Linked DNA regions of Ovis aries. The protein of the gene in region 2 purifies or fractionates together with the protein of the main gene of each other region. This does not show direct contact. Links are inferred from orthologs where the notes say so. Each region holds a gene or a part of one and is shown on either strand. Other genes may lie near its edges.

Region 1 (16,162 bases), on a different chromosome or scaffold from region 2:
GGGAGCGGGGGGCCTCCTGTCGCCGGGGAGGCTCTCCCAGTCCCTCTTCACCAGGACGTACAGCCTCATCGCCACCTGTGCATCCTGGACCTGGGGGACACGGGCCATCACCACGGTCATCCTGCTGGTGGCTGGTGTGGCCACCCACCCCCGTCCATCCCACAGCTCCCGAGTCCTGCCGCCAGACGTGGGGCGATGACCATTGACGCGGCTCCCACTCGGGAGGGATGGGCGTGCTGGCTCACGAGGGGCCCCGGATGCCACACAACTCGGGAGGCAGATGGGAGGGCTGCGGGCCCAGCCCGATGCCCAGAGGGCCAGGCTCTGTGGGCCCGCAGCCTCACCCTCAGCCCTTGGGGGTCTGCAATCTAGACAGGACCCGGAGGCCCCTCACCCCCGTCACCCAGGACCCAGAGGCCCGTCGCCCCGTCACCCGGGACCCGGAGGCCCGTCGCCCCGTCGCCCCATCACCCAGGACGTGCTTACTGAACAGTGCTCCGCCTGCTGCACCTGGATCCCCAGGATTCTCTCTGCAAGCAGCTTCAGAGACGGCCGTCCACTCTGCCGGGGAGAGGGGAGCGCGTCGCCACGTTCGGGTGGGGCCTGGGCAGGGGGTGGCCCGCCGAGCACTGACCCAAGGGACTGTGAGTGTCCCTCCCACGCAAAGTGGCCGTGTGGGCTGGTGACTGCCCGCTTGGCCAGCGGAGGACCAGGGAGGGACTATGCATCGTCGGCCCCAGGCGGCCCTGCTCGTGGGTGGGGGAACGGCCCTGCTCATGGGCAGGGGGGAGCGGCCCTGCTCGTCGTGGGGGGTCCCTGCTTGTCGGGGCGGCGGCCCTGCCTCTGGAACACACACAACGTGCCTTCTGACCCACAGCTGGGGGTGTGACCACAGGTGAGAGAGGGCCCACTGCCCTCAGGGGCGCTAACTTTGGGTTGGCCAAGTCTTCTCTAAGATTACTTTTTTTAAAAATGTCTAATTCTCCTGTGATTCTCATTTATTTATTCACTGGTTGTTTTTTTTTTTTTGGCTGAACTGCAGCATGCAGGATCTCAGTTTCCTGACCAGGGACTGACCTTGGGCCTCCGGCAATGGAAGCGCCAAGTCCCAACCACGGGACAAGTAGGAAGTCCCTCCTCTTAGTTTTAAAGGTTAAAACGGAAAACCAAACCAAACCCAAACACCTTTAACCAGGAAGCCAGCTTCCAGGGACCAGAACCCGTAATCACGTGAACCACGCCTTCAGAACCACATGGTTTCAGGTACCTTCACTTGGGTCCTGAAAGGCTTGTACTTCTGAGTGTCCCGGATCTTCTTCTTTGGGTGGCCCAGAAACAGCGCCTGGAGGAGGAAGGCACGACAGGCATTTTGGTGTCTATCTGCAGAAAGGTGCACCCCTTTCTCAGAATCCCACACTGAGCACACAGACAGGACAAAGCACTGATGAGAGGCTGAACTCCTGGGGGCGATTATCGCGGGACAGGTGATGCTCAGCAGGAAGAACGCGTGGACAGAAACACAGCCTTAAAAGTGGGGAAGGCGGAGACTCAGTCACCAAGGAACCAGCAACCGTTTGTCCTGTATTTGAGTTTGCATCACACATACACACAGAAAGTCAGGGATGAAACGGGGCCCCCCACGATCTCGAGACAGGCCCAGGAGAGGGTGGAAGGCAAGTCTGCCCAGGTTACCAGGGTGGGGAGGGCACAGGGGCTGAAGCGGGAGCCTGAGCGCCCAGGGCCTCCGAGCTGAGAGCACGTGCTGCCCAAGCACCTCATCCCAATGGGCGGGCCAGTGCGGCCCGGGGCAGAGACCCTGGCGGGCACGGCCGAGCCCCACCCTCAGGGGCACAGGAAGGGGCCCTCGAAGCTGGCCTGCCGCCCGCCGTGGGCCAGCCTGTGAGATGGGGTCTGCCCGGGGTTCCGAGGGAACAGGCACCGGGGGTGCCCCCGCCTGGGGAGGGGGCTCTGCCCTGAGGAGTGGGGCCGTCGCTGGGCGGGGCGGCAGCGTTAGCCACGGCTCCGTCTACCCGGGTGTGTGAGGAGCTGCCCCCTGCCCCGGCTCTCACTGTGGGCGCGTCACCCACGGCGGGAGGCGCGCGCGGCTCCTCCGACGCCGCGGGACACAGAGGCGTGGGCCAGCACCTTGAGGTCGTTGTGCAGCGCGTGTCCAACCAGAATCCGGCCCTTGAGCAGGTCCGCGACTTCCCTCTGAACAACTTCAAACTCTTCTCCTGGAAGCCACACACGGGAGAGGTTTCAGTGCCGCGCCGAGAGCGAGCGCTCTTGCCCCGTCAGACCCGGGGTGGGTCAGGGCCTCAGGAGGGCGGGCCAAGGGGAGGCTGCGCCAACCGGGCTCGTGCCCTCGGGCTGCCCACCCGGCCCAGGCGGGACTGGCAGAGCCTGGGGCCGAGGAGCAGCCAGGCCGCAGCACGGGCCGTGCTCCAGGATCCGAGAGGCGTGGACGGCAGAGACCACGCGCCCAGAGGAGGGGGGCAGCTGCCTCGAGCCCCCGCCCTCAGGATCCCTCCAGGCCCCAGATCTCAAGGCCCCCGAGCACAGCTCGCCCAAGGGCAAACTCTGCAGACCAGGGCCCCGGATGTGTCCCAAGGTGGGACACCTCCGCCTGCCCCCCCGACCTCATTCCCAATGTAGGGATCCCAAGGGAACCTACGAGAACCTGCCCCAGGCCAGGCCTCCCGCTGCTCGCCCTGTCCCCACAGCTTCCCAATAGTCTAGAAGACCCTGCCGCCTGTCCCGCCTCCCCAGGCCCGTCTTCACCTCCCAGCGGCCTTCTTCCTCTGACACCCTGTCTGTCCCCGCTGCCCAGCGACACCACAGTTTGGGGACACTGGTCCAGCCGACAGTCAGGCGGCCGAGAGGCAGCCAGGCCAACACAAAGCCCACCCACCCGGGAGGGAGGAAAGACTGCCGGGCCCCCGTGGCGGCCGTGCCCGGCTGAGCCACGCACCCTGCGCCAGGTCCGCGGGCCGGATGCCGCTGACGGCGGTCCTGTAGTCAGTCACCGGCTGCGTCGGCTTCACGTGCTTGTCGTACACGCACCACCCGTGCTGGTTCACCAGGGACACGCGGGCCACGATGCTCTCCTCCCCCTTGGGGCCCACGCCCACCATCTCGCAGTCCATGGCTAAGGCTTTAGTCAGCCTGGGGAGGAACCAAGGCTCCAGGTTACCCGGTGGGATCCAGGACCCGGTTCCACCACTCAGTGCCGTGCCGAGGACTGGGCTCGGCCAGGCACCGAGCTGCCTGCCCATACGACAGGAGGGGAGGGAAGCAGCCCTTTCCTGAAGAGCCCCCGCCGCCCCCGAGGCTGAGTGTGCCCTGCGTACCCGCCGAAGGGCCGCTCCTTCACCAGCGTGGTGCTGCTCTCGCTCTGACCCAGCTGCCGCCTCGCTACGCTGGCTGCCTCTGGGCCGATAGCCGCTTCGATGTCCGCTGGGTCAACATCGTCAAACCAGATGTCCTCTCTAGAAGGCAGAGGGGAGAACGGGCTGAGCGCGGTGGCGAGCGTGGCCCGCTCTCAGGGCAGCTCAGGCCCGTGTGCCTGGCCACCGGCCACGGTGATCACCTTGGCACTTTCCCGTTTAATTAAAAAATACGCCCTTTAGCTAAAATGGAGGAACCTCAGAGCAACACAAAAAACACGAGACGGAAACACACCTGCGCCCCTACTCGGGTGTGACGGCTGTGACGTTTCCTTCTCAATGACAGAACGAACAGCTACCAGACGTTTAGGGACCACAGATAAACACGCTGCCAGGAAAATGGAGACTCAGACACCCCTTGGTGCCCGCAGCGTCCCCGTGCCGAGCCTGCAGACGGGGCGCCCGGGCTGGGATGCTCAGCAGCCGGGTCCTCTCCTCCGAGACGCACTGGCCGACTGGACAGGCCCTCTGGCCTCTGCCCGCTCAGGCTCCTCCCTCGCAGGACTGACCCCGACCACACCTCGGGAGTCACTGAATCAGTGCATCCCCGCACCCCAACGGCCCCTTCTCGATGCGGGGCCCAGCTGGGACCACTCTTTCCCAAGAGGGCGCCCAGCACCGAGACACACGCAGGCCCTGAAACGCTGCCTCCTGAAACCTTCAGCCACTGCGTCCTCAACCCCCGGCGACACACAGCCAGGCGGACTTACAGACACACCACCCCCTGCCGAGCCATGCAGAGGCAGCTGCTGACCGGTCCCGCGTGGGCGACACCCAGGCTTTGTTGCATAACCGGCATGCACTGGGGCAGCAGGGGCGCCTCAGCTCCAGCACCGGTTGCCGCGCTGCTGCTCAGGGCACCTCAGGAACTGGCCCCAAACCACCCAACTGGCAAGATGCAGGAGTCGGTTTTGAACTCAAGTCTTTCTGGCTTTGGTGTTCGTTCATTCCACAAGTCTTTCCTGGGGGCCCACGAGGTGCCAAGCCCTGTTCAGGGCCCTGGAGATACAGCAGCTATGGGACAGGGTCAGCCTCTGCTCTGCCTACGTTCTAGGGGGACAGACTTACCCCAGGTTAATTCTAAATTAGCTGAATCACCCTGAATTACCCACGAAGAAACCCACAACGCCAGGATAAGGTGACAGAGGGGCCACCAGCCTCGGCCTCCTTAGGGAGAGAGGCCTCGGTGGCTGTGACCGGGGAGGAGGCTGAGGCACAGGGCGGCCGGGAAGGCCGCATCCATCATCACGTCCCGTGGTACTTACTTGGTGGGCAGGGCTGGAGGCAAGGGGGCAGTCGGCTCCTCAGCTTTCCGCTTCTTATGTTTGATGTCGCCTTGCTGCCGAGAAATGTCACCACTGGTCCTTTTCTCGGCCCCTTTCTCCTTGGGCTGCGCCTGTATCTTCCTGCTATTCAGTGATCCCGAGGGCCCAGAGGACCCTGTGACCTCAGGGTCTGTGTTTTCCATCCCCATCGCATCTCTCTTTGCTTTATCTGAGATCGAGTTTCTACTTTGTTGGACATGCTGTGGCTGCTTTTTGGAATCCGTTTGAGAGAGAAGTGGAGGCTCTTGTGGAGTCTGTGATCTTTGTTTCAGCAGCTAATAGAACCCAAAACAAAATACACAACGCACTGTGATTTGGGAATCGCACACCAGAGGTGGGAAAGAAGCGCGTCTGTGTCCAGAAGCCGCCCGCCCCCGCACTGTTGTTTCAGAGTCTCCTCCTCCCGAGCCCACGCGTGGGGGCCACTTCCTCAGCCAGATCCCTTGGTTTGCTCCTGCTGTGAGGGTCTCAGGAAGAGATGGTCACGTCCAGTGACACGGGGTGGACCACCATACCCCTGCTCTCCCCCAGGGAGGGCTGAGGTCTCCCAGCCCAGCGCCCTCGGTTAAGACCCTGCTGTGCGGCAACCAGCTGAGTGAGGAGGCAGTTCCTACCTAGCTGTTCCTGTGATGTTTAAACAACAGGAGAACTGCCTTTCTTGTATGAATTAGAGAAAACGTGAAGTTTCTTCCCACAACAAATATCCATCCCTCTGCTCGCTTCTTTTTGCTTTACTTTCTTGTAAGAAAGAGGCCGAGTTACAGCCCAGGAAGTCTGAGACCCCTGGGGTTGCCCGAGGGAATTTCATGGTCTATGTGTCAGGACAGGAGAATGATCTGGACTCCCCCCTTAAGGCGCAGGTTAACAGTCTCAGAAGCCCTTCTCTGCGCTCCCCCTCACCCACTCTGAGACTCCTGGAGAGATCTCAGGAGCTCAGAAGAGGCTGCGGAGACACCATGAGGGTCGGCAGCAGCAAAGAGCGCGAACTCCCACCCAGCCCTGTGCACCTGCACCCCAGGCGCTCGCTGTGTGACCCTGGGCCATGTCCCTCAACCCCTCCCAGTCTCCTCATCCAGAAAACAGCTGTACAGCAGCAGCCGACTCTGGCGAAGGCGGTTTACGAGTGAAGCTCAGCCGACGACAGCACCCAGGAGATAGTGGCCGGTAGGTAATCTGCAAGTCTTGGTGCACTGATGGCCCAGAAAGGCAAGGAGGTATCGTGGCATTACGAGCAGGGAGTTGATGGGAGGGGGCTTGGGGTCTGACTCCTGGCTCTGCTGACCTGGTTGCAATCTACTTAACCTGTCAGGCCCACTTCCTCATCTGTAAAATGCAGATGATACAAGATCTCAGAGTCGGTCTCAGGTTAAATATGAACACATCAGCTCAGCTCATCCAGCAGTGTCTAAAGCACACGTGAAGCACTCAGTGATCAGTAGCAGTGGTCACCGATTAAAGGCCCAGTGTTGCCAGAATTTCATGGCAAATAGATGGGGAAACAGTGACAGACTTTATTTTTTGGAGCTCCAAAATCACTGCAGATGGTGACTGAAGCCACGAAATTAAGACACTTACTCCTTGGAAGGAAAGCTATGACAAACCTAGACAGCATATTAAACAACAGAGATGTTTCTTTCTGACAAATGTCTATACGGTCAAAGCTATGATTTTTCCAGTAGTCATGTATGGATGTGAGAGTTGGACCATAAAGAAAGCTGGCACCAAAGAATGGATGCTTTTGAACTGTGGTGTTGGAGAAGACTTTTAAGAGTCCCTTGGACTGCAAGGAGATCCAACCACTCCATCCTAAAGGAGATCAGTCCTGGGTGTTTATTGGCAGGACTGACTCTGAGACTGAAGCTCCAATACTTTGACCACCTCATGCGAAGAGCTGACTCACTGGAAAAGACTCTGATGCTGGCAAAGACTGAAGGCGGGAGAAGGGGACGACAGAGGATGAGATGGTTGGATGGCCATCACCGACTCGATGGACAGGAGTTGGTGATGAACAGGGAGGCCCGGTGTGCTGCAGTCCAGGGGGTCGCGAAGAGTCGGACACGACTGAGCGACTGAACTGAACTGAACTGTCAGCAGGGTCCTCTGCATGCAGCCTCTGCTGTTCCGCAGCCCACGCGCTCCGGCCTCTGCGATCGGCTCTGCTCCCCGGGTCCGCTCCAGCCCGCGCGCCCCCCGGGACCCACACACCGTCCCCCTCTCCGCCCGTAGGCCCCCCGCGGACTTGCCTCCTGCAGCGCCTTCCAGTTCGGGGAAAAGTCCTCCGGGGCCTTTGGGGGCCGCACCGCGACCACTCCGGGGTCGTTCCCCGGCGCCCCACCGGCTTCTCGCGCTTTGCTCCTCCAGGCCCTTTTCTTCCGTCTCGGCTTCCTGACGGGCCCAGCGTCAGGCGCGGGGGCACGCGGGGCGCGCGCGGCGGCCGGCCCCCTCGCTTTCACCATGCCGGCCCCGGAGCCCGGCTGCCCGCAGTCCGGGACCCCGGAAGCCGCCCGGCACGCGTCCCCCTCACGTGGGCCCCGGTTTCCGGGAAGTGCTCTCTCTCTCCCCAACCGGGCTAGAAACCGAGCCTTCGCCTCTGGTTCCACACAGCCGGGAGAAGGGCGGGCCTCCTCGACTGCTGAGGAGAAGGGCCGCCGCCCTGGTGAGCGGCGTCCGCGGTTGGAGGCCCCGGGTCGGGTTGGAAGAAGCCCGGGATGTCTCTGAGGGCAGGCCCGGGGCCGAGAAAGGCGAGCGCCGGAAGGGGAGCGAGGGGGACCGCTGTTGGTGTAGCACCGAGGCCGGGCCGGCGGGGAGCGCGGCAGGCGGCCGCCAGGGGGCGCTGGGCGGCCGGACCGGGGAGCAGCGGGCGCGGAGCCGACGCCCGGTCCTGCGGGCCGCTGTCCGCCGGCCGCTGTTCCCACCCCGGCCCGTCTTGCCTACGCGGCGGGGACACTGAGGTCCAGGGCCGGGAGGGGCGACCCCAGGTGGCTCTCCGCAGTCCAGCAGCATCCGATAACAAGGATAAAGCGCTGGGACAAGTGTTGTCTGTTCAGTTCAGTTCAGTCGCTCAGTCATGTCCAACTCTTGCGACCCCGTGGACTGCAGCGCGCCAAGCCTCCCTGTCCATCACCAACTCCCGCAGTTTACTCAAACTCATGTCCGTTGAGTCGGTGACGCCATCCAACCATCCCATCCTCTGTCGTCCCCTTCTCCTCCTGCCTTCGATCTTTCCCAGCATCAGGGTCTCTTCAGCTGAGTCAGCTCTTCGCATCAGGTGGCCAAAGTATTGGAGTTTCAGCTCCAGCATCAGTCCTTTCAATGAACACTCAAGACTGATCTCCTTTAGAATGGACTGGTTGGATCTCCTTGCAGTCCAAGGGACTCTCAAGAGTCTTCTCCAACACCACAGTTCAAAAGCTTCAATTCTTCGGTGCTCAGCTTTCTTTATAGTCCAGCTCTCACATCCATACATGACTACTGGAAAAAACATAGCTTTGACTAGACGGACCTTTGTTGGCAAAGTAATGTCTCTGTTTTTGAGTATGCTGTCTAGGTTGGTCATAACGTTTCTTCCAAGGAGTGAGAGTGTTGTATGTTATGTGACAACAATGATGTTACTCGCACCTCCTGCCTGGCTCTGACAACACCTGGAGGCCAGGCCTGCATTTCCCCAAAGCTCCCATCCCAGCCTCTGTACCTGTGCTGGGGGCCCTTCAGGGAGATTCAGATACCAAATCAGCAATTTTGTATCCTAGCAACTGCCACCAAGATGAGAAGATGAAATGCTGTGTTAGAGACCGAGGAGGGTTAAGGCTGCCAAAGAACCTGCAGGACGCCCAGAGAAACAGGGATTTCAGATAAAGAATAATTTTTACTATAATATGTTCCATATAATAGCTACAACACTGAGGGCATACTCCTTGTTTAGTCGCTAGGTTGCGTCCCAACTCTTGTGACCCCGTAGACGGTAGCCTGCCAGGCTTCTCTTGTCCATGGGCTTTCCCAAGGGAAGAATACTGGAGAGGGTTGCCATTTCTTTCTTCAGAAGATCTTTCCGACCCAGAGATCCAACCACATCTCCCGCTTGGCAGGTGGATTCTTTGTCACTGAGCCACCTGGGAGGCCCTGAGGACGTCATTGTTATTGTTCAGCTGCTAAGTCATGTCCAACTTTTTTCAACCATTTGGACTGCAGCACATCAGGCTACCCTGTCTGACACCATCTCCCGGAGTTTGCTCAAACTCATATCTGTCGAGTTGATGTTGCCATCTGTCCATCTCATCCTCTGTCATCCCCTTCTCCTCTTGCCCTCAATCTTTCCCAACATCAGGGTCTTTTCCAAGGAGTCAGCTCTTTGCATCAAGTTGCCAAATTATTGGAGCTTCAGCTTCAGCATCAGTCTTTCCAATGAATATTCAGGGTTAATTTCCTTTAGGATTGACTGGTTTGATCTCCTTGCTGTCCAAGGGACTCTCAAGAGTCTTCTCCAACACCACAGTTTGAAACCATCAATTCTTTGGTGCTCAGACTTCTTTATGGTCCAACTCTCACATCTGTACGTGACTACTGGAAAAACCATAGCTTTGACTATATGGACTTTCGTCAGCAAAGTGATGTCTCTGCTTTTTAATACACCGTCTAGGTTTGTCTTAACTTTCCTTCCAAGGACAAGCGTCTTTTAATTTCACGACTGCAGTTACCATCCACAGTGATTTTGGAGCCCAAGAAAATAAAATCTGTCACTGTTTCCACTTTTTCCCCTTCTATTTGCCATGGGGTGATGGGACTGGATGCCATAATCTTAGTTTTATTTTTTAATTAATTTTTTATTGAAGAATAATTGCTTTAGAGAATTTTTCTGTTTCCTGTCAAACCTCAGCACGAATCAGCCATAGGTAGACATCTCTCCCCTCCCCTTTGACCCTCCCTCCCATCCCCCTCCCCACCCCACCCCTCTAGGTTGACACAGAGCCAGACAGCAAATCCCCGTTGGCTCTCTATTTTCCATGCGGTAATGTAAGTTTCCATGTTGCTCTCTCCATGCATCGCGCCCTCTCCCCCCTCCTCATGTCCATAGGTCTGTTCGCTATGTCTGTTTCTCCGTTGCTGCCCTGCAAATAAATGATTCAGAACCATTTTTCTAGATTCCGTTTATGTGCGTTAGAATACAATATTTATCTTTCTCTCTCTGACTCACTTCACCCGTTTAACAGGTTCTAGGTTCATCCAGCTCATCAAAACTGACTCAAATGAGTTCCTTTTTGTGGCTGAGTTCCCTGGTAGCTCAGAGGTTGAAGTGTCTGCCTTCGCATCGAGGTTGCTTCCGTGTTCTAACTATAGGGAATAGTGCTGCAATGAGCGATGGGATACACGTGTATTTTTAACCTTAGTTTTTTGAATGTTGAGTTTCAAGTCAGCTTCTTCACTCTTCTCATTCACCCTCAACAGGTCCTTTAGTTCCTGTTAATTTTCTGCTGTCCTAGTGGTATCATCTGCATATCTGAGGTTCTTGATGCTTCTCTTGGCAGCCTTGATTCCAGGTTGTGACTTATCCAACCCAGCATTTTCCATGATGCACTCTGCGTATAAGTTAAATTAGCAGGGTGGCAATATACAGCCTTGCACCCCTTTCTTGATTTTGAACCAGGCTGTTGTTCCATGTTTTGTTCTAACTGTTGCTTCTTGTCTTGCACACCAGTTTTAGGAGGCAGGTCAGGTGTTCTGGTATTCTCGCCTCTTTACATTTTCCACAGCTTGTTGTGACGCACACAGTCAAAGACTTTAGTGTAGTTGGTAAAGCAGAACTCTCTTGCTTTTTCTATGATCCAAGAGATGTTGGCAATTTGATCTCTGGTTCCTCTGCCTCTTCAAAACCCAGCTTGAACATCTGGAAGTTCTCAGTTCACATACTACTGAACCCTGGCTTGAGGGATTTTGAGTGTTACCTTGCTAGCGTGTGAGATGAGCGGTAGTTTGAGCATTCTTTGGCATTGCCTTTCTTTGGGATTGGAATGAAAACGGACCTTTTCCAGTCCTATGGCCACTGTTGAGTTTTCCAAATTTGCTGGCATATTGAGTGCAGCACTTTGACAGCATCATCTTTCAGGATTTGAAACAGCTCCACTGGAATTCCATCACCTCCACTAGCTTTGTTTGCAGTGATGCTTTCTAAGGCCCACTTGACTTCACATTCCAGGATGTCTGGCTCTAGGTGAGTGATCACACCATCATGATTATCTGGGTCATGAAGATCTTTTTAGTACAGTTCTTCTGTGTATTCTTGCCACCTCTTCTTAATATCTTCTGCTTCTGTTAGGTCCAGACCATTTCTGTCCTTTATTGAGCCCATCTTTGCACGAAACGTCCCCTTGGTATCTCTCATATTCTTGAGGAGATCTCCAGTCTTTCCCATTCCGCCGGTTTCTTTTATGGCTTTGCACTGCTCCCTGAGGAAGGCTTCCTTACCCCTCCTTGCTCTTCTCTGGAGCGCTGCCTTCACTGGGACAGACCTCTCCCTTTCTCCTTCGTGGTTCGCTTCTCTTTTCTCGGCTGTTTGTGAGACCTCCCAAGACAACCACTTTGCCTGCTTGCATTCACTTTCACCCGTACACCAGAGAAAGAAAAAAACTTCCGTTGTTTATCTGAAATTCAAATTCCACTGTTGTCCTGACTTTTTTTCTAAATGTGGCACCCCTCGTGGGGGGAGGGGTAGTTAGATGGCGCCATGAAGAAGGTGATGTTTGGGCTGAAACTGGACTGTGAAGACCAGAGGTGAGGGGGTGGACAGGACACTGGAGCTGTTTGAGGGACGGACGGCAAGCTGGGGGTGGGTAGCTGAAGGTCTGTGAGCACAGGGGGCGGGCTGGGGAGGCAGGCAGAGGGCTGACGGGGCCAGACGGCAATCACAAGGCCTGGAGCCTCAGTGGACATGACATCCTAAGGGCAGAGCTGGGGCGTGAGGACGTCAGATGGGAGGGGGGAGGGAGAGCCAAGGGGCCAGGTGGGACGCCCAGTCCAGATCCCAGCCCAGGTTGATGAGATGGCTGGATGAGCACGGTGTGTCAGTTTGGGTCTCGGAAAGCACTGCCAGAGACGGAGTCGGGCAAGAGCAGCACCCACTGGGGTGGGATGCCCGTGGCAGATAAAGGGCGGAGGCTCAGACCGCTGCTGGCAGCTGTGAGGGGAAGCGGACGCGCCCAGATGGACAGGCAAGCACCTCTAGTGTAATAGGACTCGAAGCGGGCTGAGGTGGGCACGGGCCAGGGGGGCCCCCTCCCTCATTAGCCTCCTGCTGGGGAAGGCCTCCTGGAGGCGGGGGGAGTGGGCACACGCTCCTGAGAACCTCCCAGCAAACGGAGGGGATCAGGGAGCCTGTGACGCCGAGTGTGCCCAGTGCCCCCAGCCCAGTGCTGTGAGCACCTGCTGGATGCAGACACAGGCCAGGCAGGGGCCGAGAGGGAGGGAATGAGGTGATGATGGGAGCGCAGGGTGTCCCTGGGGGAGCGGCAGTCACACTGCTGGGAGATGAATCCTACCCCTCCCCAATCCCCGACCCCAGCCCCGTGCTCCTAGGGGCAGGCTGGGTGGCAGCCCTCTGAATCAGAGCCAGCCCCCGCGCATGGCCAGGAGGAGCCAGCAGGCCGCCTAGTCCCCCAGCGCCTGCCCTGGGAGGAAGCGCCTGCGAGTAAACCCAGCCTCCTGGTCCAGCCCCGAGGCCCTGCCTGCCCGGCACTCCAGGAGCACTCCAGGATTCCGGCAGATGATCGCAGGCAGCATGGCTCCCTCCACGCTGGGGAGGTGCATGCAGGGGACCCTCACTTCTGCGCTCTTCCTCCTGAGCTGCTGGGCGCTCCCTGATCCTCGGCAGGTGGGTGGGCCCGCGGGGCCGTGGTGCTGGGGGAGCCCGGGAGCTGAGAATCCAGACTCTCCTAGGGCTCAGGGCTGGGTTCCCTGGGGGGTGAAGGGGTGCCCAATAGCACTTGGGCAGAGGGGGAGGAAGTCTGAACGCGGGGTTCAGGGGACAATTGGGCTCCCTGGAGATGGAGTCGGCCTCAGTGCTGTGCGCCTGATGTTGAGGGCGGATGCCGTCCCCGCCACTCCAGTCTGTCCAGGGCCCCTCTCTTGCCCCTCAGCCTGCTCCCCCCACTTCCCCTCCCTGTGTCCCCTCACTCCTCAGTGCTGTCTCTCTGTCTCACAGCAGTTTCTGCAGGCCCTGGAGCCAGGGGACGTGACCTCTTACTTTGGCCCTGATGCTGCCTTTGAAGGTACGTGTCCTGGCGGGCCCCCTTGCAAGGGAAGTTTCTCAGAGCCCCCGGGGGTGGGGGGAGGCAGGGGCATCTCACCATTGAGTCAGGGGGCCCGACTTTTTGGAGGCTGTCCTGGGAGGAAGTCAGAGGCGCCGCTGTCGCTCTTAATTAACTCTGGCCCTGTCTGCCAAGTTGATAAAGACTGGTCTGGGTGTTCCGGGCGAGCTGGGGCTCTGACCCTGGGAGTCTACTCAGTATCTCGAGGCAACGGTCACTCATCAGCTGGTCTCTCCCAGCCCGGCGCCTCGCCTGGGACGACCGGCTCAGGAAGTCCTGCGGGTTTCTGGCCAGGATGTAAACATTTACGTTTTCTGTGAGAAGCAAGATGGAAACTGGGTCGCACTCCTGCCAGAGCCTTTTCCCGCTGTTCCTGGGCTGCCTCTGTGGGCCTCTCCATGGTGCCAGCCCCCTTTCCGACGAGGACCACTGGGGACTTTGATCCAGAGGCCGGTGGGGGCCAGGGGCAGGGCGAGCAGAGAGTGAGGGGTGTCCCGCTCGTGACTGCTCTGGGGTCGGGGTCAGGTGCGGGGCCGGGCCGGTGGGCCAGCGGGGACCCCCAAGAGGACCCGGAGGGCCGAGCAGGGGTGAGCGCGGAGCCTCCTGTTTCCCGCAGCGCCCCCATTCGACGTGGCCTCCCCGGCCTGCGCCTGCAAGCACAAGGACGAGGGCGGGCTGGCGGGGCCGCCCTGCAGGGCCCTGTGCTGCTCCCTGGCAGCCCTGGGCCGGCTCTTCTCCTTTTGCTTCCAGCCTGAGCTGGGCCTGCTGGCTGCTTCCTTCGCCAGCGAGCTCGCGGTCAGTGCCTCCCTGTGGCTGCTGAGGGGGCCTCCCCACCCCTGCCTCACAGGAGGCCGGGCCCTGCTGCCCCCGGAGGCAGCAGCCAGGCTCACCTACTGCTTGGGCCTCGTGGTGAGGGGGCACCCAGGCTGGCTGGGGGGACACCCTGGGGCGGACGTGTCCCCCAGCCCCCAGATGCGAGAGCAAGACCGCTTGGATCTTAGCCAGACTCTGACCCAGTGAGGGCCTGCTCCTCGGAGGCTCAGAGAAGCCGCTGAGTTCTCTAGGGCCACCCAGCTAGCAGGGGACAGAGCTGAGTGCAGGCCTGGGGCGTGGGGGATGGAAAGAGGGTGGGCTTTGCAGTCAGAGCTGAGTTCGGGCTCAGCTGCGCCCCTTCGTCCAACTGACCCGGGGCCGGCCCCTCCGCTGGCCTGTGCTGTCCCTGAGGCGCGGTGAAGGCGGCCCCGGCCTCTTGGGGGCTGCGGGGACTGGCGTCATGCGTCGCCACCGTGTCACGCAGTGAGCAGAGCCCCCGCCCCCCACTGCTAGGTTGCCTGGTTGGGCGGTCCAGCCCGGGCCGAGACAGGGCACTCGGGGGCCACCCGGTGACAGGCAGCGCTGTCCATTAGCGCAGGCCCAGTGCGGCCCTTGAGACCCCCTCCATCCTTCCCGTGGTCTTCACCAAGCCCTGCAGTCTGGGGCCTGAAGCCTGAGCATGTGACGGGGAACGGGAACCCAGCTGGCGGGCAGGCGGCAGGTGGCAGTCAGTGGGTGCAGCCCCAGAGGGCATGAGTCCCCCTCTGTGCCCCCACAGATGGGCTCTTGGGCCTTGGACTTGGGGAGGAGCCCTGGGAGAGACCCAGGGCCAGTCCGTGCCTGGTGCGGTGACGGCCCAGCGAGGCGCTTCCCTGCACAGGGGGAAGGGCTGGTAGACCAGATGGCTCTCTGTCCTCCAGGAGGGCGACATCCTGGTGGGTGCAGATGGGTTCTACATCCAGCCGTTGAGGAGGCAGCACCGGGCACTGGTGCATCTCTGGGAGGGGGGGGCGCGCAGCCCCACCTGATCCACAGGCCCACCCCCGGGGCCCCCACCGTTCCAGGTGCAGCTCCTGGGAGGGGAGGGGGCTGTGGGCAGGGACGGCTCTGGGGGAGGGCCCGGCTTTCCTGATGCCTGGGGCCGTGCGGAACAGCCGAGCTCCTCGCCGCCTTCACGAGCATGCAGGGTGTGCCAGCCCACGGGGCAGGCCGGGGGCGCATGGCCGCCAGCTGCGCCCTCAGACTGTCTGCTTGGCGGACGCGCAGACCTCCCGCCCCTGAACAGCCGCTCACCATCTACAAAGCACGTTCTCTGACATGGGCCTTGGAGCCTTGGGCCCTAGGTCAGAGGTCACTGAGAGTTCCCATGCTGCAGATGGGAACCCAGAGGCCCAAAGATGAGAAGTGGCCGCTGCAAGCCTGCGCAAGGACTGCGGGCACAGCCACGGTGGGAGTCGGCTCTGCTGCCCGCAGGCCTGCTTGTGCCTTCCCCAGGCTGCGTCTGCTGCAAGCACGGTGGGGTCCTGGGCTTTTCTTACCATCCTGGCATGATGTCGTTCTCCAGTGTACCCACAGTGGGGCTTTGGGGTGACCAGAGGATGTAAAATCCACACAGTAGCTGACTCCTGGGCCTTGCACTGCCCTGCATGCCCAGCCAGCCCGGGGGGGTGGAATGAAGTCTCTCCACCTGAGACAGCCATCCTCCCAAGACCTGGCCAACTCTCTCCTGTGAGCCGGGCGAGACGTCTGCTCTAAAAGTCACGGCGCGAGTGACGTGCGAGAGCTTGGCACCTCCCACTCCCTGCCCGAGGAGGGCAGAGATGTCCTAACTCAGCTGGTGGCTGAGGGCACAAAACCACAGGCCCTGAGAAGCCAGCTCGAGGAGGGCCAGCACGGAACTGCTCGCTCAACACCGAAAACAAGCTTATAGTTAGGAAAGGAGAAGAGGGGACGAGTAGATTAGGAGTTTGGGATTAACATATACACACTGCTACTGCTGCCTCTGCTGCTAAGTCGCTTCAGTCGTGTCCGACTCTGTGCGGCCCCATAGACGGCAGCCCACCAGGCTCCGCCATCCCTGGGATTCTCCAGGCAAGAGCACTGGAGTGGGTTGCCATTTCCTTCTCCAATGCATGAAAGTGAAAAGTGAAAGGGAAGTTGCTCAGTCGTGTCCGACTCTTAGCGACCCCATGGACTGCAGCCCACCAGGAGATACAAGAGACTTAGGTTCCATGCATTGGTCGGGAAGATCTTCTGGAGGAGGAAATGGCAACTTACTCCA
Region 2 (15,585 bases):
TCTCTTCTGAGAGAGGTGGGGAAATGCTACTTGGGGAATATGAGTGTGGAGATTGAGAAGTATCCCTGAGTCAGGGGAAAGGGGCACTTCTACACAGACAGACAGGTATGTACGTAAGTATAGACAACAAATAAGGCCACCCGAATTTTTTTTTAAAGCCAGAAGCTATAGAATCACCTCTGATTGAGGCAGTAAATAATTCTATAACTACAATAACAAAGCTGCCTTAAATAATAAGCAGAACCCAGATTTTTCCAACCTAGGGTAATGGTATGAATCACTGAAACTCCTCTTCTATGGGTCATGCTCATGATATACACCATAAAGACCCAGAACACAGCAAATGTGTGGTATATATGCAAGTTAAGGTACAGTATCGATGAGATCTGTAAGAGTTATGGTATCAAGAATAACCTGGCCTTCTATGTCCTGTGGCATGATGGATAGGAGAATAACTACTGACTGTATACTGACCATGTAGCTTGTGAGACAACTTACACATGTTAAACACAGATGATATTAAACCTATTTTTATAAACCAGAAGCTGAAGCTGAGGGGGGGAGTAACTTGCCAAGGAACTCAGAAAGGGGCAGAGCCTGAGTCTGAACATGAGTCTTCCTGTTCCCAGAGTTCCTCTACACTACACTAGATTAGAAACAGTACTGAAACTACCAGGCATCACACCTCTGGAGCATACAGGATGGAAAGAGGATTACGGAAGAGAGAGCTGAAATCTACAGGTAACGGACAACTTAACCTTGGCTATTAATTCTGACAGGTACCATCACCAAATACGGCAGTGCAAGCACTGCTGACCGGTAACAGCATCGGGCTGATTCTCCTCTCCCTTTCCTTCTGTGGAGCTATCACCAGCCAGCCCAGCAGAGGAGAGAGGGCCTGCAGAGTTCTAGGGAACTAAGAGGAAAGGGTACCCAAGAACCTAGCAAGGCAGAGACCTAATTTAAGGGAACAGAACCACAACTGAACAAAACAGGAGTTTAAATATGGTCTGAGAAAAAATTGAACTGTATGCTTAAAAACAGTAGAGTTTATGTGATGCATACATTACCAAAATTAAAAAAGCAAAGAGAAAAGAAAAAAATTTCAATTCTGTACCTGGCTGCGCTGGATCCTCAGTTCCTTGACTTTAAGTTTCCTTCGATCTTCCAAAGAGAATTCCACTATTGGTCTCTGCGACAGAAGGAGGCAGATTGTCATTCATTTGATTTCTTAATCTCTGCATGCAATGGAGCTGAGATGCTCGCCACCCCCGCCCCCACTACCCTCTTGCTTGCAAGTCAGAGGGTGCTGCTCACTTCCCTCTGCCTAAAGGCAAGGGGCCGGTTCAGCAAGCAGACTACCCAATTTAGAGTTCCCTCCAATCATCCCGTCACCCGAATCACCGCTCACTTTTCCAAGGCCTTGCCACTTTTACCCATCACACAAGTGTCAGAGGGCTTCCATAAATGGCCCCCGGAGCACAGGCTCCCCGCCCCAGGACAAGGCTCACCTTCTGCGGCCCGAAGATCTCTGGATTGTTGTTGATGTGGCGTAGGGCCACTAGGGCATGCTCGTGTTCCTGGAACTCTGCAAAGGCGTAGCCCAAGGACTGACCCTTAATCTTCCCGTAAGCTCCTTTCAGGTCTCGCATCACCCGACACTACCGGTAGAGTGAGGAAAAGAAACAGTCGTTAGAGGATTTATTTTTATTTTGATTAGAGACTAATTACTTTACAATATTGTAGTAGTTTTTGCCATACATTGACATGAATCAGCCATAGATGGAGGATAAAGATCCTTAACAGCTTCAACAAGAAATCAGGTTATTGAAACAGTCTTCATCTATATCACCATCACAAGAGTTTTACTGGAGTAACACTTATGAATGTCTGTGTTATTAGAATATACCTGAGAGCACAGAACACATTAAATAGGTATTTTCTTGCTTTCTAAGGGTTTACAAACATCCACACAGACCTCCAAATAAGCATGCAGAGAAACTTCCCAAGGAAGAATTTTAAAGGTAACTACTGACATGACAGCACATGCTAGCCGAGAGGTGTGTGGTACCTGGGGTGGTATATAGATCAGCTCCAGGCCTCAAGTGCTGTCTGCAGGTCTCCTCACTGAAGAAGTCACTCAAAAGAGATATTACTCAAGAAGGGAAGGATGAAGGCCTGATGGCTTTAGATAAGAAAGTTCTGGCATGAGGAAGATCCTGACCAACAAATAGCCTCAGAAATACAGGAAGGAGCGTCACCTGTATTTGCTCAGAGCTCAGATCTTCTCTTGCATGATTTTTTCCTAAAACTTTAAGCTGTACCAGGCATCTTGGGGCACCAAGGAATGGTGGGGTATTTTGGGAAAACTGACCATTTACGGGGTTTCACTCCTAGGAAACTGTGTTTGTCAGTAATGGAGAAGTCTAGGTATCAGGGACATGTGGATGCCGCATTTGGTATATGTCCAGTATCCACTCTGTGCCTAGAACGGTGCCATGTACTGCAGGGAAGTCGAGAAAAGCATTTTGGCAGCCAGACACGCTGCGCAGCCCTCCAGTTTCCTCAGCTGCCGCCCCTAGGCCTGGCCAGGTCTCGCCTCGATGCAGCATGGCACAGCACCCTCGACTTCATGCTCAGAGCCAAAGTGAGATCATTGGATGGTAAGACCATTCCAAAGGCCTCTAGTCCATTTTCTGGGAGCAGGTGATGATGGAGTCAGTGCACACCTGGCAGGACCATGGCTATTTAGCAACCTACATAAAAATGGCAGCTTTTGCCAATTTGAGAATTTACCTGCCTGGATCCAGATTTATTCTGGACCTTCAGAGTTACGACTGTGATGCCCAAGGCAAAGAAGCTGACAGTCTTTTGAACACAGTAGAAGAATGAAAGGACTGAGTCAGGACAGTACTGAGCAGGTGAAGTGATTACCACCCGTAGCTAGAAGAGGGGCCATCAAGAGATACTGGCCCACTGCAGATGGCAGACTGGCTGGGCACAGCATCGATGAAGTGGTATGTGATGAAGACTCACCTTAGCAAAACATTAAAATTGTACACTCAAAACAATGTGGAAATATTCTTATCCTCAGTGGGGATGTTACTAAATACTCCATCCCTTGGCACTACTGGTGGGTTGTTTTTATTTTTGAGATGAACATTTATATTAACCTGTGGCTCGTCTGGCATGCTTTATAACAGAGCCATAGAAACTGTGTCTTGATACTCTTTTTTTCCTTAGCTTTCTTAGTGATTAAGAAATTTGGATTGTATTTCAAAAGAAAATATAACTGATTTTTTTGCTGTTTAAAAATTTTTTATTGAAGTATAATTGATTTACAATGTTGTTAGCTTTCAGTGTATAGTAAAACGATTCAGGTATTCATTTAAAAAAAGAAAAGGATAAAATGAGGCTCTGATCTTCAAAAAGCTTACTATCTTAGCTGAACACTATACTTACACATACAAAAGATTTAAAGAGAAAATTCAATATAATGCAAATACTGTAAAATACACATACATGTCTCTAAGCAATGACAGGTGTTAGATATGCAGGCTCTTACTAAGTCCTGCAGATGCTGATGAGAAATTACATAACTGACTCTTATGACAGTAACTGAATGGTTTTACCAAGAGTGGTGGCAGCTATGTTCACATTCTCTCCTATAATTCCCTGAATAGCAATATCTTACATTTTGAAGAGGATTTCCAGGAGTAGGAAAATAGTTTATGGTGATGAATCAGAGCAAAGCAGATTCATAATACTGGCTATGCTACTTATTCAATAAACACTGATCAAGAGACAACTATGTGCCAGGTACTATGCCAGCAACTGGGAACAATGAGATGACACCTGCCCTCAAAGAGCTCAGTGTGGTTGGGAGAAATGACTGACGAACAATTACAGGACAGTGTAGTAATAAACGCCACAACAGGCATGTGGGGGTGCTGCGGGGGCAGGACAGCAGTTCCTGTAGTCATAGAGAGCCTGACTAAGTCTTGGTGTGAATTCAGAGTTTGTCTAACACAACTGCCGAAGACCCGAGTGACTCCCTGTGCTCACCACAGGGCACTGAGAACTTACTATAGTGCAAGAGCCTAAATGGTAGTGAAATGCTCCTCCAAGGAGCAGAGAACATAGATTATCTTCTCTGCAAGAAAACTAACATTACAGCACCTGGTATAATGCTGAGAATGCAGCAGGTACCCAATAAATGCTTGCTGAATTAAGTCATGAGCGCAGATACTTCTGCACATTCTGCTGCAACTGGTCAGATATGAAAAGCAGTTCTTAGAAGAGGGGAAAAAAGTTTTTTAAACCTCCCAAACCATGAACATCACTAAACTCAGTCTTGTCTGCTGACAATGAGCCCAAAAGAAAATCTGTCAATCTACTAGCACCTTGGGCATGCGCGCTCAGTCGCGTCAGTAGTGTCCGACTCTTTGTGACCCCGTGGATGTAGCCCGCCAAGCTCCTCTGCCCATGGGATTTCCCAGGCAAGAGTACTGGAGTGGGTTGCCATTTCTTCCTCCAGGGGATCTTCCCGATCCAGGGATCAAACCTGCGTCTCCTATGTCTCCTGCAACGCAGGTGGATTCTTTACTGCTGAGCCATCAGCGAAACCCACTAGCACCACAGCCTGAAATAAACATGCGCTCTGGCCCAGGACGAGCACCGAAGCCCCCAGTGGGCAGAGCCAACTCTCACCTCTTTGATGCGCACCACCTTCTCCCCTCTGGTGGCATTCAGCAGCAGCTTTCTGAGCTGTTTGTCATCCACGGCCTTTGGGAGATTGTGCAGGCACAGCCTGGTCCGGGAGACAAAGATATTTTGGTCCTTGAGTTTCTGATGCTTCAGCAGCTCGAACTGAAAAAATAACAAACTGTTAACAGTACAATCCACCCTTTAAAGATACAGGCACATAATTCTCCAACAGGAAAGAACCATGACCCCAATCCAGTAACCACACATCTAGAAAAGATAAGGGAATCACCCATGCTGCAGCCTTTTGGTGATGCCCAGCACATAGGGAAAGAAAGGTTCGAGGCGGCAAGAGGGCGGGTGGGTGATAAGATCATGGAGTCGGGCTGAATTTGAGAAGTTACGTAACACTTTTTAAGCCTCAATAATTTCACCTACAGGGTAGAACTGCAGATCAAAATATGATACCAATTTTTCAGTACTGATGTGAGGCTGAAATAAGGTAACATGCATAAAATCCCAAGCTCAAATCTGGCCCAGAGCAAATGATAAACAATACTGTAGTTAACATCTATGCCAAGTCCTTACCTATCCACCAACTCAAACTGATTATTTACTCCTTCCAAAAGGAGATGGATTTACTTAAAGAATACGCGACAGAATACTGTCTTGTCTCAACTCTGCCACCTTGAGGCAAAGAAACGTCAATAGAAACAAACAGTTTCCAGAGCCTGACCTATGTTGCACAAAGCACTGGCCCCAGGACAACCTCTCTCTAAAGTGAAAGGGTGACCTTCTCCTGACTTGTTTCTTAAGAGCAGCTCAGCAGAAAAGTTTTAAGCTAAACTTTTATCAAGTTTCATTTTTGCCACTTCTTACTTGGTAAAGATACTATTACAGAAACTCACAAAATAAATACCCTGGAAATGAATATTAAAAGGGCTATCTGAAGGGTTATCGTGCTTAAATTCAACAGTGCGATTTTTCTCCCAGGAAAAGCTGTGTCTGCTGTTTAATTATAATGCATATAATCTAGTGAGCCTTTTGCTAGGAAAATTCACTTTAAGGAGAATTAAATGTGTCACTATCGCACTGTGATCAGAAAAGGGCATTCAATGCCCCCACAGACCATGATCTCCAGATGCTCACTACCAACACCTGTTGAGGACACCAGTCTAGAGCCTGCACAGAAAAGACATGCTGCCTCCAGCCGTCACTATATTCTCATCTCTGTCCGTCATCTTTTGCACTTCCAGGCTCCAGAGCTAATTCTATTAATGATCATGCATCTTTACCATTCTAGGCTGGCTTAGCTTTGTGAAAGTAAACTATACGGGCAAAAGCAAAAATTATTGGAACAAAGATTGCTAAGCAGCAAAGGAACTCAACAATATTAGTTATCACTAGAAATCCCATAGTATGGGGTTTTCCTAAAATGATTTCATAATCTGGAGATACCACCCTCCCTCCACCAAAATACATCCTATCTTTCCCTTCCAAGACACACATCCACACTTCCCTCCCTATTTACTCTAGCCCACACTGACCTTCCTTTCTCATATTATTCTGCATTTATACTGACACCTAATTATATATAGCCTGAGCCTCTGTCTACTTCATGATCTAAAAGCATACTATTTGGCAAACACATACTGTTGAGCATTACAAAAACAAAGAATAAGACCCAGTACATAATGTTGACATGGTATGATGTATAACGTCAGGTTAGTGGCTGTTCCACCTGTATACATGTTTTCCAACAATAGTATAAGTAGCACCTGTGACCGATACTTGCTTGGCTCTTTGATGAGCACCTTTAGCATTATTATTTATTGATTTATATTAAGTCCTGCAGAACCTGAAGCTGGTGCCTAATCTACTCACTCGTTCTCTCTTGGCCATATCAGCAGCGCTCACACCCTCTGCAGCCTTCGTCCCAGCGCGAATCACTGCAGAAAGAGGGAAAAAGGCCAAGACATCAGCAAGGGAATTTTCACTGAGCAATAAGAGGAATGTGATGTGAATGATGCAAGCTCTCTATAGAGGGCCCAGAGGACTATGCTGGCCAGGACACAGTGGTTATCTGGGTAGGTCCAGAAATAGGCTACAGGGCTAAGTTCTTGTCTATGAGCTGCTCTCAAGGACTAAAACTCTGAACATTTTGTGATTTTGTTCTTCTTCTTCCTTCCCTTCAAAAAATTTCATGTCGTGCCCAAAGTCAGATGGGAAGGCCTAAAGGAAGTTTGGAAATAAGTACATTTTAGGCATTTGGAATGCCAATATGCTCTACCTATGACCTGTCCTTGGAAATCTCCCTGCTAATGTATTTGGGAGCCATTTCTAAGCGGTGAGATAAGCCAACCAAGAGAACAGCCACACTGTATAACACCAGGCCCGGCCTCCAAGGTTAACAGCCTCCCATTTGCTAGTCCGGGCGGTAAGGTTGTGCAGCAGGTGGCAGTACTGTGTGACCTAAAGGAAGGAATTCTCCTTTTGTCTTAATTAAAGCTAATTTCTGATTATCTTTCAGACACTAAGGGAAAGGTGCTCAGTGCATATTTTAAATCCATAAGTAATCCAAAAGAGTAATTTTAGTCATAATTTTCAACTCCTTCAAAAAACCTATCAGAAATGATGATAAGGGACAAAGGTACTTTGGGTTTTTCCTCCCTCTGATGAAATAATCTTCTGATGAAAAGGTCTAAAGACAATCAGTCAGAAAGGAGAATGGGGACTGGCTAACCCATGAACTGGGTGAAGGCTTCCTAACAGAAAGCTGTGCTTCTGTTAAAGTGGACTATCTACTACATCTGCTAAAGTACAATAATAATAGTATACCACCATTAAAGAGGCTGCAGGGCTTTTAATTTGAAACATGCTCCAAACATACTACTGTCAGGTTGCTGTCATGGCAAGTGGCCAGCTACTCCAGAGCCTGGTTCCCCTCTCCCTGCCACTACTCACAGCCTTCTCGCGCCAGGTAGAGGTTACGGGTCCCAGTCGGCTTCTTCACCTTCTTTGTCCGGAGTTTTGCAGCCTCATCACGGGTCACTGCCAAGTCAACCTTAAGCTGCCGGCCATCCAGTTTAAGTCCGCCACCCTGAAATAGATTGCAACCTCTCTCTTAAAATTCATGATGATGGCATTGTAACATGTATACTATCATGTAAGAATCGAATCGCCAGTCTATGTCCGACACAGGATACAGCATGCTTGGGGCTGGTGCACGGTGATGACCCAGAGAGATGTTATGGGGAGGGAGGTGGGAGGGGGTTCATATTTGGGAACACATGTACACCCGAGGTAGATTCAAGTCAATGTATGGCAAAACCAATACAGTATTGTAAAGTAAAATAAAGTAAAAATAAAAATTAAAAAAAAAAAAGAAGAGTATCTTGGAGAAAAATGACTTTTATGGGTGGATGGAGAATAAAGACCTAAAAAAATACCAAGAGTAAAAAATAAAATAAAATAAAATAAAATTCATGATGAGCAGAAACTAAGCACCTGACAAGGAGCACCAAGGAAAGGGAAACCAGCAAACCCCCACTGTTGTGTGGACCCCCGCTGCTAGGATGTTTTAGGCCAGCCAGATGCAAGTGGATCACTGAGCTGAACAGTATTTAGCACAGCTATGCAAAGGCCACATGTTCATTTGTTTTCAGGGAGTTGATTAGTCCCAAAGTAGGACCAAATTAAGAAAAACGATCTGTAAATAGGCAAATTTTTAGTATGCTAAAGAAAGCTAATGAAATAGTAGTGATAACTCTACTCATGAGAATTTAAGAGACAATGGCAATACACGATAACTCAGCTCAAAACAGTTTATACTTGGTTATAGAATACACAGAAAAATTCTCTATCACCTACACACTTTCTCTCTCAAACATTTACTCCACTTCATAGATGGCCTTAATCCCTTCTTGTCCCAGTCTTTCACACCATCAGCCTAGGATAGAGACTGATATAAGAAACTGACCCATAATATAAATTATTATACCTACTTCCTCACCTATAAAGGATTACTCATCTTATAAACACCTATAGGACTGATGTGAGGATTAAACAAGGTCATGCGTGTAAAGCTCAGTGCCTAACACACACTGTGCTGTGCTTAGTCCCTCAGTCATGTCCGACTCTTTGTGACCCCATGGACTGGAAGCCCACCACGCTCCTCTGTCCATGGGATTCTCCAGGCAAGAATACTGGAGCGGGTTGCCATGCCTTCCTGCAGGGGAGCTTCCCCACCCAGGGATCAAACCCAGGTCTCACGTATTATAGGCAGATTCTTTACCATCTGAGACACCAGGGAAGTCCTAACACACACTATGTATTCAATAAGTCTTAGCTTTATTATTTTCATATCATTGACAATAATAATAATAAAGTTTTGTGGAAGTATCAGCTATTGCCCCTGGAAGGCAATCACCTAAATTACAGAATAAAGGAAATGTTTTCCTTACCTCGGCCTCTGGAGAAGCAGCTTCAAGGCATTTTTGGGCTGCTTCTTGAGTCATGAACTGGGCAAATGCACAGCCTGCACAGAGAGACAAAACTAAGTGGGATCCCAGGCTCTCACGGCCCACCTGGAAGCCAAAGACAACACTATGCATGGTGGCAGCCTGACATGAAGCGGAAGGGGTAGTAGCACCCTTGTGTTAAGTACAATGAAACTTAACTAAAAAGCACTGTGTCCAGCACCAGGGGTTCAAGACAGGCAAGACAGCACACCTGCTCATAATGAAATTTTTTTATTATTGCCTTCATCTTTTCTAATGCTTCTTAGAAACTTTAGTCGTACCATCTCATGCAACGAGATATATCCGCAAGAAATACTAGAGAAATCCCAGCCTAATGTTTCAGTGTCACATTCTACGTGCTTGTTAGAGGGCTGAAAAGAAAAAAAAATGAAGCAGCAATCACTTAAGCCTGAAACTACAGATCTCACTGTCATCAGATTCCCTAAGGAGGGATCAGATGAGGGCAAGTCTAGTTCCTGGAGTAAAAGTCCCTGGCCTCTATCCTGTGAATATAGTGGTGAACTGGAAAGTCATGAGCTCAGCTTTTGACTCCTGCTATAGAATTTCCACAGGCATAACTTTCACTGGTTAGAGGCAGGACCTATCAACTATCCTAATCTTTTGCTTTTGATAAAAAGCAGCTTTTATAAGGAAAAAAAAAAAAGTTGACTTTATAGTAAACTAAAAAAAAAAATTAAGTTCCATAATATTTTGTTAACATTCCTAAAAACCTTAATTCTTCCCTCACAGAGGAAGGCAGTGCCATATTTCCTAGAGCTACTGGGGCACTGACCTTTTGCCCCTCTAAGAATGAATGGCAGCCAACTAACTGCAAGGACGCATGTGGCAGGCCAAAGGCCTCGTCTAGTGAGGTCTTCCCTGCCTCCTGCAGGCAGAGCTAAGTAAGAACCCCTGTATCCCCCCCCTGCCCCTACACTCCACCCCAGCCATCCTCCACTCCCATTTCTATTATGGATGTCAGGGAGCATCTTCCTCAAAAGACTTGAACGTCTCAGGAAGAAAGCTCATGTTTCTTGGCTGTTTCTACATCCAAAGTATGTACCATAACATCCACCATTAGAAGATACTCAATAGGAAGCAACAAGTAAAACAGAAAGAAGTCCAATGTGAAGAAAATGAGGTGGGTTCTTCTCTCTGAATGGGTAAGAATGTTACCATGGGAATTTCCAGGGTATCTACTGGGTCAGTTTTAACACTTCCCCAAAAGTCTTCAGATAATACTTAGCCCTTCCAGGCAGCAAAATAGCAGCTAACAGGGATGAGGGGTAGGAGGCAGCCAAGGCTGTGTGAGTAGGCAGAAAGTGCCAGGAAAATCTAATATGAGCTAGGGAAAGACAACATATCATGGAAAAAAAACAAACTATGCTCATTAAAACCATTAACTCTCAGCTAACATTAACAGACCAAGAAAGAGATTGAGCAATCAACCACAGACTCCATTCTAAAAATGTCAACCCAATACATTAGGGCACTCAGAAAGAGATAAAAGAGATGACCAAAGTCAAGCAGAATCAGACAGTACTTGCAACATTCTATGCAATTCTAGTTGCCCATTTTCAGAAAAATAAAAATGGAGAAGGTCCAAGAGGTATAATTGAGTATCAGAGCTAAAGGCACCTTAAGTGATTACTCTAGTTGAACCCACTCATTTTACAGATAAGGAACGGAAGCCCACAGTGGTTAAATGGGTGCCAAAAAATCACCCAGCTGGTGATTTAGCTGGGATTAGACCCCTAACCTAACCTTTCCATTATACTACCTCATTTTACATCTTCTAAAGCTAATGAAACTAAAAATGATCAGGTTTCATCAAACAGGAAAATAAGATTTAGAATGGAAGTAATTAATCCATAGATAGGCTCCAGAGAGCTCCAAAACACTCAGAAATGGCATTTTTATGAGGATAGGGTTCAGAGTTCTTGCTAGATCTCAAAGGGATCAAGAACCAGAATGAATTAAAAAGTCACTGCTTTAGCAGAACAATTGTACTTGATAAAAATCAAAGATTATGAATGGGTTGAAAAGATGTTTATCTAACAACAGTATATTAGAATGAGGAGTGGTCAACCTTTAGCTCAAAAGAAACAGCTTAGGGAAAAAAAAAAACAAACCAGCACCACCACTAAGGCAGCACTTCTGCTTTTCCTTTTGACTGTTGGCATTGCAACAAAGTTTCCATCAGCTTCCCTCACTAACAAAAGCAACTGAAAAATAGCTCCCTAATTTCAAGCACTGTGGAATGATTAATAGCCATGAGATGCTATCACATTTGAAATTCAAAGAACAACAAATGGAATTCATTACCCTAAAGTAAATAAGCAAGAGCTTAAAAAGCTTAGACAAAATTACAGCTGGCAACACCATGACAGATGCTGAGTTTGACATCACTGGAAAACAACCTCAGAATGTCCTTGGTGCTTCTATGGATCACAGAAACCTGGATGATGGTGGACCCCTCGGAGGGCACACATTATGCCCTCATGTAACCTAGTCAGTGCCCATGGCAGTGGTCTCAATCCTTTTGGGCCTAACCAGATGACAGCAAATACCTTTAGAATGCTCTGTGTCTGGATGCAAGACAATACGGACATATTTAAGATCTCCAAATTGCTGCAGGAGCTCTCCAAGGTCTTCTTCCTCTGAGTCGAAGGACAGGTTTCTATGGAGGACAATCAGGGAACAAGAGAGCTCAATTACAAAAGTGAGACCCTGTGCTCCAGTACAAGATGAATGAGTCAGACATCATCTGGAGTGGTTCCTTGGAACCACCCTCCCCAAGGATAGCACCAAGGGGTGACCCCCGCTAGCCAGGCCACCGATGTATGACTCTGGCCATTGGCCATAACCGACTGAACGTCCTCTGTTAATCAGATTCTCTCTCCCAGGAATATAAAACTTGAACACACATATACAAAGACCGGAAGTTGCAGATACAGATTTATCTCAAAACAGCTGTGTGGGGAGCTGAACATGTTCTGTAACATATATATGTATCTCCACATATAAAGGTATATGTATATCTGTGGCTATATATATGAAAAATGTCACTGGGTTGTACACATACTTTACAGAATACATGTTATACCTTAACAAGGGATAAAACAAGAATGAGTGTCTTCAGAGAAAGGATCACACAGTCTTCCACAGCAAAGGACCCAGCAAAGGTCCCTTTTTGAGGTTTGCTCTTTGACAACTTTGATTCTGTGAGCTACCCTAACGTTCATCCGACAAACCAGGTTTTTCACTTAAATTGGCCAAAATTAGTTTCCCTTAGAACCAAAAGACTGACAGCAAATGAGAAATCAAACATCTCTCAATGTCTCCTCTGTACTCCTATGAAATCTCGGTTTCAGTTAAAACTTTACAAAAGTCAGAAAATCTTTCAAAATAGTAACTCAAAACCAAACATGGTAAAGTTTATTAGCTAAGTACAAAAAAAAAAGCGGGGGGAGGAGGGGAGATGGGATCCCTTGATGGGATTAAAAATGTTAGGAGACACTGTTCTACTAAATTTCAACACAGTGTAAAGGTTCTTAACCCAGTTATACACAGCCTTCCAGGGGCAAGAAAAAGAGTTCCAAGTAAATATCTACAATTTTACTTCTCTTTTGCTCAATTAACAGCTCCATAAACAGTTTTATCTTATTGAGCAACCAAGATAAAAAAGATTTTCTGCAATAAGACACATCCTAGCTACATTATTGCTTCTAATTTGCCTCATCGTGTTCATAGCCTTCTCTCTTCCATCCCTTTACTTTCCTAAGTTCTCTTTAAATTAAAAAGATGTATAAGGAAGGGAATCTTGGTACTGAGGTCACAGGCTTCTAAGTGTGACATTCCTCATTCCTATTACACAGAATCCTCTACAAACATGAAATTGTTTACATGGAAATTCCAAATAACACAGAAGAAAAAAAAATGGAGACGTGCTATAAAGGAAGAAAATGGGCTACAGCACAGCATGTATAAGCTGAAATCATCCTTGTTAAGTATTTATGATATGAACACATGAGTGGGTATTCCTTGAGTAGTGATGAAAAGTTAATTTTGTGCATATGTCTTTTTGCCTATTCATGTCCTAAATTTCCCACAATAAACATAAATTACTTGCATAATGAAGACCATCTTTAAAAGACTGTACAAGAGAATAAAACAGAAATCTCTAAAATAAGACCCAAATAGCCCGAGCAAAAATGGTACTCAAGAAAGGATGAAAAGGCCATTGAGGGGTGCCAAGGACATCCCGACTTCCTGAAAATGCCAACCTACGGCAGTCAGTGCAACTGAAACAGCAAAGGCAACATTGACACGGTATCCCCTTCTCTCGGTTTTCCAGGAAACAGACAGGATGCTTCACTTTATGGACATGACTTTAGATCAGTCAGGCGTGAGGAGAGAATTAGGGACAAGAGGTACAATCCCTCCCCAGCACTCACCCTAAAACAAAGGCCAGAAGCAAGACGCTTCTATTAATAATAGTTGAAGAATTCATTTGTTCCAATGACACCACCCCAATTACAAAGAATAACATCTAAATGGGGACAAGATACAAAGACCCCTGCTGCTTACCTCCTGTGTATAGTTGATTCTCCTACACGTTTCTCAGTGGTGCTACGTTCCTAGGCAGATGTGCTGATGGTCTTACATGCATCTAACTTTTTGGCCTAGCTAACAGAATTAGTGAAAAAAGAAGAAGAAGAAGAGGAAAGGAAGGGAGAGAGGAAGAAGAGAAGAAAAACTTATGAAGGTGACAGAAACAGCAGTTCTCCAGATAGAAAGTCATACCTGATAAAGACAGTCTTCCCTTCATTCACATCAGAGGGTAATTTCCTCTTCTTCCTCTTCTTCTTTGAGACTTCTATATTCAAAATAAAAAGAAAAGCAACAAACTGAATTTAGGACTAGTGCAAGCCTTACAACAAAGAGCTAAGTTGTTAAATATATAAAGATCTTACATAAATTAAGAAGAAATCCAATTAAAAATGAACAAAGGATATGCAACTAAATATATGAAAATGCTCAAATTCACTCATAATTAAAGAAAGACATAGCACCAGAAATGAGATATTATTTTTCACCGAAGATTGGCAAAAATCAAAAAAGACAGATGAAATTCATTATGGTAAGGGTGTGGGGGAAAATGAGAGAGAAAGAGATTCCCCTACACTGTCTGATGGTAAACTTTCTAGAAATGTAAAATGTAGAACATCCGAAGAGAAAAAAAAATACATTCACATAGACAAATATACATTACACTGTACACCAGTGCATATACATTCATGTTTTAGCTTACAGAAGTATTATATTAGCTATCCTCAGATACACAAGAAACCCTGGTTGTCTGGTGGTTTACTTGCTAAGTTGTGTCCAACTCTTGCGACTCCATGGATTGTAGCCCATCAGGTTGTTTCTGGGAAAGGGCCTTAAGTGGCTGTGGATTTGGGTTTAAGGGAGATTCATTGATTTTAAGAATTGACATATATGCTTATATATATGAAGAAAATTTCTGGAAGGATACAAAAGAAATAACAGAGGCTACTTTGGGGGAGCGACTGAACTGAACAGAACTGAACTTTGGGGACTGATGGGAGGACTGGTGAGGAATTTCTACTTTTCTGTGTTACATCCTTTTGCACCACACATATATTTTAAATTATTTTTCTCTCATTAGTGTCTATCAGCCATTTTTCCTAGTGAAGAAGAGACAGCTGAATCTCGTTGCAGGATGAAAGGTCTCTCAGTTCTCTCAGTGTAAAAGCTTCTTTGCTTCTAAGGTGTCTACCATTCTCTCCTCATAGAAAAAGTTTATTTCCTCAGATTTCTCATATGGTCAAATCAACATGCCAGACTTACAAAAAAGGGAGAAGGGAGACCTGATTAGTGAATAAAAACCTCCAAGGAAACCAAAGGACCACTTACTGACCACTCTTGATTCTGTAATGACCTGCCTCACTCAATAAATAAGTGGAGTTTAAACCCAACATTCTTGATGAAAGTAGTAATATGGTTTGGTTACAGTTTTACAAAATGCCCCGGGAGGTCCTTTATCCCCATTTCAATTCAAAATTGTTGTTTATACTCCACTACTGGCAGAGAACAGTAACAATGATAATATTGGTAGTCATTAGTAGTACAGATAATTTAATCTTCACAATCCTATGTGGTTACTAGAGCCATTTTATAGACGAAGAAACTGAGGCATAAAGAGGTTAAGTAACTTGCCCCAACGTCATACCTCAAGAAAGGAGCAGAAACAGGATTTGTAACTCTTTGCTAAACAAGCTGCACCTGTGATCTCTGGGAAACATGGGGTTTTATTCTCTTAATTCACTCCTGTTCA

The links.
Region 1: the proteins of RBM28 (region 2) and REXO4 purify together in Homo sapiens (affinity purification with mass spectrometry; 3 studies listed by BioGRID and IntAct, with this or other methods). This does not show direct contact. The link is inferred for Ovis aries from reciprocal best matches to the Homo sapiens genes RBM28 and REXO4.

What each region holds. Positions count from the first base shown.
Region 1 is NC_056056.1:2,631,670-2,647,831, reverse strand, and holds the start of REXO4 (RNA exonuclease 4), read right to left. Parts: upstream 7,274-16,162; 5' UTR 7,228-7,273; coding exon 7,015-7,227; intron 5,047-7,014; coding exon 4,712-5,046; intron 3,489-4,711; coding exon 3,351-3,488; intron 3,166-3,350; coding exon 2,972-3,165; intron 2,235-2,971; coding exon 2,146-2,234; intron 1,343-2,145; coding exon 1,268-1,342; intron 562-1,267; coding exon 487-561; intron 91-486; coding exon 1-90. Other genes in the region: ADAMTS13 (A disintegrin and metalloproteinase with thrombospondin motifs 13), read left to right, coding at 12,525-12,632, 12,963-13,029.
Region 2 is NC_056057.1:94,214,486-94,230,070, forward strand, and holds part of RBM28 (RNA-binding protein 28), read right to left. Parts: intron 14,104-15,585; coding exon 14,031-14,103; intron 11,905-14,030; coding exon 11,795-11,904; intron 9,242-11,794; coding exon 9,168-9,241; intron 7,805-9,167; coding exon 7,669-7,804; intron 6,654-7,668; coding exon 6,589-6,653; intron 4,870-6,588; coding exon 4,711-4,869; intron 1,662-4,710; coding exon 1,512-1,661; intron 1,193-1,511; coding exon 1,118-1,192; intron 1-1,117. UniProt on the Homo sapiens protein: Nucleolar component of the spliceosomal ribonucleoprotein complexes.